2 linked regions of the Macaca mulatta genome follow. The protein of the gene in region 1 purifies or fractionates together with the protein of each later gene. This does not show direct contact. Links are inferred from orthologs where the notes say so. Each region holds a gene or a part of one and is shown in the gene's direction. Other genes may lie near its edges.

Region 1 (3,375 bases):
CTCTTGTCCTGCACCACCAATCAATCCCTTGGCTCCTTTACCTCCTCAGGCTCACCTTGGCTGCACTTGCAATGTCCACAGCCTCCACAATGTCAGCCTGGCATATCTTTGCTGTGTCTTCCCCATCCTCCCCTTCCAGAAACCTGAAAGCAAGGGTTAGGATAGCAGTAAAGTTTCCCAATATGAAGCAAGTGTACCAACATAAAAACGAGAAAAGACAGTCCTATAAGGCAAGGATTGGGGGTCCAGATTAGGGCCCACTCACCCCGGTTCCTCAGCAAGCAGCAGCTCAGAACGAGCAGCTTTGATACTTGTTTCCTCTTCCTCAGCTTCAGCCACCTCAAGTCGGCTTCGAGTTTTGGCTTTAGAACGTGGTAGCTATAACATTGTTGGTGGGGAGGAGTGGCAGAAGAACCATAGGATAAGTGGGGTCACAGGAGAGCTACCTAGCCCAGCCTCCATTCAACTCACCCAGACACTCCCTGCCTCCAACACTTCCCAACTCTCCGGCTGGACCTCACCTTTCGGGATTTGTCAATACGACAGAACTTCTGGACCACCTCCACAGGGACGGGGGCGGGGCCTGGGAATGGATCTTGGGCCTAGGGGAAAGGAGAACGCAGTTAGTAGACAGCCTTGGGTTGACCCCAACCCTTTCAAAGCACAAGGCGGCCTGCCTCGCCACCCATTAGGTTCCACGTTCACCCCGGACAAGCTCCGCTGGGACTCCGGGTTCTTCCACTCTCGGGGTTTCTTCGGGACCTGAGGCTGCTTAGAGATCCGAGACTTCTTTAATATGTGAGCATTTTTTGGTCTCTGAGGACGGAGCTCCCGATTCTTCTTGTTACAAGGAGGCCCTGGAGAGGCTCCGTCTGTGGTCGGAACAGTCTCTTCCTCCCAGTATCGCCGCGGTTTCTACAAGCAGATCAGGAACTCTGATACTCCGCACCCACGCCCCGCCCCCCCGACCCCGCAGCAAAAAACTTCCTTTCCCACCCAGGGAGGCCGATACCTTTCTCTTGGTCTGAAGTTTGTCTTTCTTGGGCGGGACATCCCTGCCCGGCTTGGGGGCTGTCTCCATCTCGCCCATCCGAACGGCGATCCACGTGCAAAACTCCTCTCAGCTGCCCCACAGTCGGCTTGAAAACTCCCGGAAGCCCTCTATCCTTCATCCAATCAGTAGCGTACCAGGTCTGAAGCTCTCTAGGCGCCATCTTGAGTGAGGGCACACTCTCCTTAGAGGGGCGGAAGAGCTCTTGGCACCTTATCGGGAGCGGCAGCTTATGCAAGAGTGACTTACAAAAGAAAGGCAGGCCCGGGACCAGGGGCTAAGTAGCGGTGCGGTTTCTTTTTCCGGGTTAGTTTCCCCATCTTGCCTAAAAATATCCGAGTCCAGTCTTTGTAGCAGAACTCCATTCGCTAAACATGTCAGAACTACACTTCCCATCAAGGGTCAGAAAGAAACTTCCGGCGCAGTCTTTTCCCGGCATTCCTCGTTTACTTCCGGGTTTATTACTACTGAAAGCAGAACGTGAATAGGTTAGGATTTCGGTTGAGAGGCTTACGGTCTTGCGTTTCGCCCACCATATCCTGGGGACGGGGTGGAGTCGATACCCAGGACCGGGGGGAGGTGGCGGTGCCCCTCAGGGCTGCCTCTCAAGAGTGCTATCATTTCCGCAGGCGAGATCAGAAAAGTGAGCTCAGGTACCTTCCAGAGAGTGAGACGCAGCGCCCTTGTCTCGCTCCCCGTAGGCTTTCATCCCCGCCATGGCGGAGCTGATCCAGAAGAAGCTGCAGGGAGAAGTGGAGAAATATCAACAGCTACAGAAGGGTAAGGGAGCAGGGTCGGTATGGCCTCGCCCAATGCACTCACAACCCAAAGCCATTACCGAGATAAGGTTTGTTGCCCCATCTGGGCCCTTGCGTGCAGAGACTTTCCCGCTTCAGTACTCTTCCCTATTCACTGACCCGCTGCCCCCATCTTTTTCTGCTTCCTCAGATCCATATCCACCTGACTAGGATTGATGTTTCTAATCTTGCCTTTCCTCTTATCCCCAGACTTGAGTAAATCCATGTCGGGGAGGCAGAAACTTGAAGCACAACTAACAGAAAATAATATCGTGAAAGAGGTGAGGGACTGGGATTTGTGGGGCGAGGAGGGACCTGTACTAGCCATGGTTCTGATCACGTATGTCCCATCCCTCCATCAGGAACTGGCCCTGCTGGATGGGTCCAACGTGGTCTTTAAACTTCTGGGTCCGGTGCTAGTCAAACAGGAGCTGGGGGAGGCTCGGGCCACAGTAGGGAAGAGGCTGGACTATATCACAGCTGAAATGTGAGTCTTTATTCCACCACTGTGTGCTGCACCCTGTGATGCAGTGAACCATTGGAGTAGAGGTGTTGAACCATTGCAGAACAGCTCTCCATAGTGGCCCCTAGTCCTCCAGTTCCTCCAACCCCTTCCTTCCCTTTTAACCCCCCTTCTCCCTTCCCTAATCTCAAGTTTTCCACCTATCTCTTTCTTGCGTTTAGCACCCTCCTTAGTAAGTCCTACTAATTTCTCCCTTTCTACTTGTCTCCCTTGTCTCTCTTTAGTAAGCGATATGAATCCCAGCTCCGGGATCTTGAGCGGCAGTCAGAGCAACAGAGGGAGACCCTTGCTCAGCTGCAGCAGGAGTTCCAGCGGGCCCAGGCGGCAAAGGCAGGGGCTCCTGGCAAGGCCTGACCCCTTGGTGGGGGGAGGGGAGGGGAGGGAATGAGGCAGCTCTAGCATCTATACTGTAGCTAATAAAATGTAAAAACACCTGGCTCCGTTTCCTGACCAGGCGCTTCTGTCATATCCCCACAGTCCCTTCCACCTTCACACACACCACCTGTATTACCCCCTCAGGTTCAAACTCTTGCACTTGGAACTTCTTTGTGGCACGATGTTCTTTCTTTCTTGAAAGTGAAATCCTAAATGTCCTCAAACCTACTTCTTGCCTGTATATACAACCCTTAACTTTCCCTCATCTTGGTTGGCATGATTATTTTGGAAGGGCATTTACAACATAGCGTATTACTAGGAATGTCAGTTCAATTGAAAAAGAATTCACAGTTCTCTAACCTGAGGCCCCAGGATGAAATGTGGTTACCCTCTTTGCCAGCAGCCCTGGCATCTCTATTGGTACTTTTCAGCCTCTGTCTTCCTAGAATTTGCTTGAATGTAGCTTAAACTGACTTAAAATCCCAGCACGTAATGCTTTGTAGTGTATAAGTCCTCCCAAGTTTATATGTTGTCCATAAAGTTGTTCTGCCATTTCCTTGTCCTAAAATTGTTTTATACACATTTGCAGCAAGGGACCAGTGGTAGAGAGGTTACTGAAGAAAAATTGT
Region 2 (4,246 bases), on another chromosome or scaffold:
CACTGCATTCCAGCCTGGGTGACAGAGCGAGACCCTGGCTAAAAAAAAAAAAAAAAAAAAAAAAAAAAAAAAAAAAAAAAAAAAAAGGGCCGGGCGCGGTGGCTCAAGCCTGTAATCACAGCACTACAGCACTTTGGGCGACCAAGGCGAGCGAATTGTTTGAGCTCAGGAGTTTGAGACTAGCTTCGGCAACAAGGTGAAAACCTGTCTCTACGAAAAATCCAAAAATTAGCTGGGTGTGGGTGGCGCGTGCCTGCAGTCCCAGCTACTCAGGAGGCTGAGGTGGGAGGATTGCTTGAGCACGGGAGGTAGAGGCTGGAGTGAGCGGCGATTGCACCACCGCACTCTAGCCTGGGTGACAAAGCAAGATCCTGTCTCAAAAAACAAACAAACAAGCAAACGTACCAAAAAACAAAACAAAAAACCAAAACCACAAAATATCCAAGTGACTTGCTCAAAGTCACACAATTAGTAAATGGAACCAGACATAAGCTAAAGGTGGACCAAGCCTTGAATCTGGATCAGGCTGGTTCCAAATTCCCTGCCCTTTCATCTCCCTAACAGTTTGTTTTGTTTCTCTCTCTTTCTCTTTCTTTTTCTTTCTTTCTTTCACTCTCTTTTTAAAAAAAAAATAAAATAAATTTCCTAATTGTTTATGTAGCACTTTCTCTTAGCATAACAGTTTTTAGAGTAGGTAAACATTTCTTTTTTTCCATTTCCAAAAGTCAATTATTATCTATTCTTCTGGTTCAAATGCCAGGTCCTTTTATGGCAGAGATTCTCAAAAAAGTGATCCGCAGAGGAGTTGCACCATTAGCTCACTGGGAGAGTTTGCAAAAGTGCAAATTTCCAGACCCCATTCTCAAAGATTCTGAGTAAGTTTGAGATGAGACCCAGAGAACCTGCATTTTTTTTTTTTTTAAACAAACGTATTCAGCCTCTCTTTTGAACCACTGTGCCTAGAAAGTCTTTGGGAAGCTTTTGGAAGTAGTAAGTTCGTCTTGGAAAGAACACTCCAGACAAGCTTTCCGGTAGTCTTTCCCAAACTGTCATGCCTGAGGTTCTGGACTTATTCTTACTGATCCCTGACAGCACAGCGACTAGCTGAAGGATTCTGATCGACTGATGAGGGTTTGACCTCATCTACATACATCCCAGTTTAGCAGCATATACTAAGCTAGCTGGCAAACTGCTTAAAGCCACATGGGAAATCTGCGCGTTGGGCTATGTCTGGAAGATGTGGAGGAGCAAGCCAGACCTGACCGGTCAGATAGTGGAGACACTGAATCCGAAACCCAAATATTTCAGGGGTTAATCAATTCTCATAGAAAGGTAGGAAGCCCGGTTAGTCCAACTCATGCGCAGGCGCAGAAGAAGGACGGATGCACAAAGTGAGGCGCGCCCTTCCCCCACCCTCTTTCAGGCCAACTCCCACTGCGCAGGCGCATACACCAACATGGCTGCCCCCGTGGATCTTGAGTTGAAGAAGGTAAAAGAGGGTCTTGGGCAGGCGGAGGCCTTCTCTTTGGAGGCTGAGGGGACTATAGGCAAGAATATCGAGTGAGGCACGAGCCTTGCATAAGGAAGGAGGGTCCAGTGGACTAGGGAATGGTTTTCCAGAGTCCTAAGGCCGCACTGCGTCTCCGTAAACTGGGGTGGGGGGCGAGCGGCTCTTGCTGGGTAGGAGCCGGTTTGGGTGAGGTAAGTCTGCGGGCCTATCTCGGGCCTGTGCAGTCTTTCTGAGCTCTAGAGAGCTTTCGTTGCGTTTGGAGGCTTCAGGGACTCACTTTCATAGTAAGAACCAAAGAGAGCATTTCAAATGGGGGTGCCTTCGGACCCCTTGCCTGAGTTGTGGCATCCGTAATTCTGCCTCATTTGCTTTGAAAAACTCCAAGTCCAACCTTTGTTTTTAGGCCGTTTATTCGGTTCTATACCTTGAAAGGTTGCGGTATCTACAGTTCGGAAAACCAGGCATTGTAACAGCAATGTTCATTTCAAGATTTGGGCCCTCCCCTTCTTTTTAAGGACTTGTCAAAAAAAAAAAAAAAAAAAAAAAAAAAACAAACAAAACAAAACCTTCTTTTGAAGGACTTGTCAAAAAAACAACAAAACCAGTAAAGTTTTCCAAATAAAACCGGTATCAGAAGGAATTGGGTTTCCTGCTTTCCTCAGTTGCTTATAATGTGTTGTTACTCATATTTTTGCTGTCTAAGAATGATCAGCATTCTAACACCACTAATGACCCCAAACCAGTATGCTTTGTGCGGTGGGGTGGATTGGAAAGGACTCTAGAATTTATCTATTTTAAATCTACTTTTCTAGAAAAGGAACCAGTGCTAGAAGAGTCTGTCAGAGGTTGGGACTAGAATCCAGTATTCTCTGTCTTACCTCACACCTTTTTTGTTTTTTTTTTTTTTTTGAGACAGAGTCTCGCTAGTGGCGCAGGCTGGAGTGCAGTGGCGCGATCTCGGCTCACTGCAAGCTCCGCCTCCCGGGTTCATGCCATTCTCCTGCTTCAGCCTCCAGAGTAGCTGGGACTACAGGCGCCCGCCACCTCGCCCGGCTAATTTTTTGTATTTTTGGTAGAGACGGGGTTTCACCGTGTTAGCCAGGATGGTCTCGATCTCCTGACCTCGTGATCTGCCCGCCTCGGCTTCCCAAAGTGTTGGGATTACAGGCGTAAGCCACCGCGCCCGGCTACCTCACACTTTTTTGACCACTATTTTGGATTCTTCAGATGAGCAACATCTTAGTTAAGACTGTCTCTCTGGTCAACTTGTGCAAAAGAAATAGGACAGCCGAAATAGCTGTTGCTTCTAACAAATGAAGCTTTTGTTATGGTTCTGAGGATATTATGTGTTTGTGTCTTGCTTTTGTTCTTGTCTTGAATCTTGTAAATTTAGCTCTTAGGTGGAATTCCCTCATCTTTAACGGTGTACTAGCTCATCTTTAACGGTATACTAGCTTCCTTAGCAAGCTGTACAGAGCAGTCAGATAATACCTGAAATTTTACATTTCAAAACAAAATTGTGCATTCTAAAAATTTACCTTTTTTTAAATTAAAAGTACCGATTTAAATCAGGGTTTAGTGAATGGATTTTCCTCCTGGTACTTTTGAATTTGTTGCTACATTTGAAAAATGTGGACAGTGAATGCAAACTAAGAAAATGATTACAAACTTAAACTGAATAATTTTGACAAATGATTAATTTAAAAACTTGTTTAAAGGTTTTATCTTCTAATGTTGTTACAGGGTCCGTTTTTTGGGTGGAGACAAATAGGACATTTCAGGCCCCTCCCCTTCTCCAAAGTAAATCTTTCAAAATCTTACTAGTAGGTGAAAACAAGGTCACAATAAAAATTATGTAGTAACCTTTGCTGTACATTGCAGTCACAAATTATTAAGGCACCAATTTGACAGCATATGAAAGTCATTCCAGGCACTTCAACAAGAGTATCCAAGAACTGTTTATTTTCCAGTTAACTAAGTGTACGCAAGGGTCAAATTTGGCCTGATGCAATTATTTTGCCAGTGCTTTGCATTTTTTCTATCTTTTTGGTCTTCCTCTTAAAAATGTTCATATTATGAATATTACTATAGACAGTGGAATGGAAAGATTGCTAAACTAAGGGGTTAGAAGAAATGTCTTTAAATACACCTCCCTTTCCCTCTAATAGTTGTTCAAACTTGTGCAAGCCACTTTTATCTCTTAACTCATTTAGTTACTTAATTTGTAAATTGTGGATGATGAAACTGCCAATGCTAACTCATGGCATTATTGAGAGGCATAAATTAGATATTATATTTCCTCATTAATATTCTTATATTAATATTCCCATATTAATATTTCAAACTAATGTGAGAAAGTGCTTTGAAACCTAATTGTGCAATACAAATGTAGTGAGTTATTACTTTTATGGTTCTTGTTTTGAATCTCTGGGTTTCATCCTTGACTATTGCGTTTATTTCTTTTACTACTCCTTGAATACTTCTTAATATGGTTATTATTTAATGTGCATTTGTTTTGCTTCACACTGTTTGTATCTTCTGATGATTGTAAATTCAGTATTTAGTATAGTGACTTGATCGTTTACAATTATGTTGACTTATTGATATTTGGTAAATTTCACAACTTTGTCTCTGGCTAGCATGTTTTGTTTTAATATATTTGGATTTGACATAAATGTTTCCTGTAAAATGTTTAACCTACTAAATCATGGACTTGTTTTTATTAGGCCTTCACAG

What was found. Proteins that work in one complex are often made in the same cells at the same time.
Region 2: the proteins of PFDN6 (region 1) and PFDN1 purify together in Homo sapiens (affinity purification with mass spectrometry; 6 studies listed by BioGRID and IntAct, with this or other methods). This does not show direct contact. The link is inferred for Macaca mulatta from reciprocal best matches to the Homo sapiens genes PFDN6 and PFDN1.

Annotation. Positions count from the first base shown.
Region 1 is NC_133409.1:148,998,988-149,002,362, reverse strand, and holds PFDN6 (prefoldin subunit 6), read left to right. Parts: upstream 1-1,509; 5' UTR 1,510-1,539; exon of another isoform or gene 1,540-1,752; 5' UTR 1,753-1,767; coding exon 1,768-1,831; intron 1,832-2,058; coding exon 2,059-2,129; intron 2,130-2,210; coding exon 2,211-2,335; intron 2,336-2,595; coding exon 2,596-2,725; 3' UTR 2,726-2,808; downstream 2,809-3,375. Other genes in the region: WDR46 (WD repeat-containing protein 46), read right to left, coding at 56-143, 266-378, 522-602, 706-915, 1,013-1,090. UniProt on the Homo sapiens protein: Binds specifically to cytosolic chaperonin (c-CPN) and transfers target proteins to it. Binds to nascent polypeptide chain and promotes folding in an environment in which there are many competing pathways for nonnative proteins.
Region 2 is NC_133411.1:149,161,807-149,166,052, reverse strand, and holds the start of PFDN1 (prefoldin subunit 1), read left to right. Parts: upstream 1-1,431; 5' UTR 1,432-1,456; coding exon 1,457-1,489; intron 1,490-4,236; coding exon 4,237-4,246. UniProt on the Homo sapiens protein: Binds specifically to cytosolic chaperonin (c-CPN) and transfers target proteins to it. Binds to nascent polypeptide chain and promotes folding in an environment in which there are many competing pathways for nonnative proteins.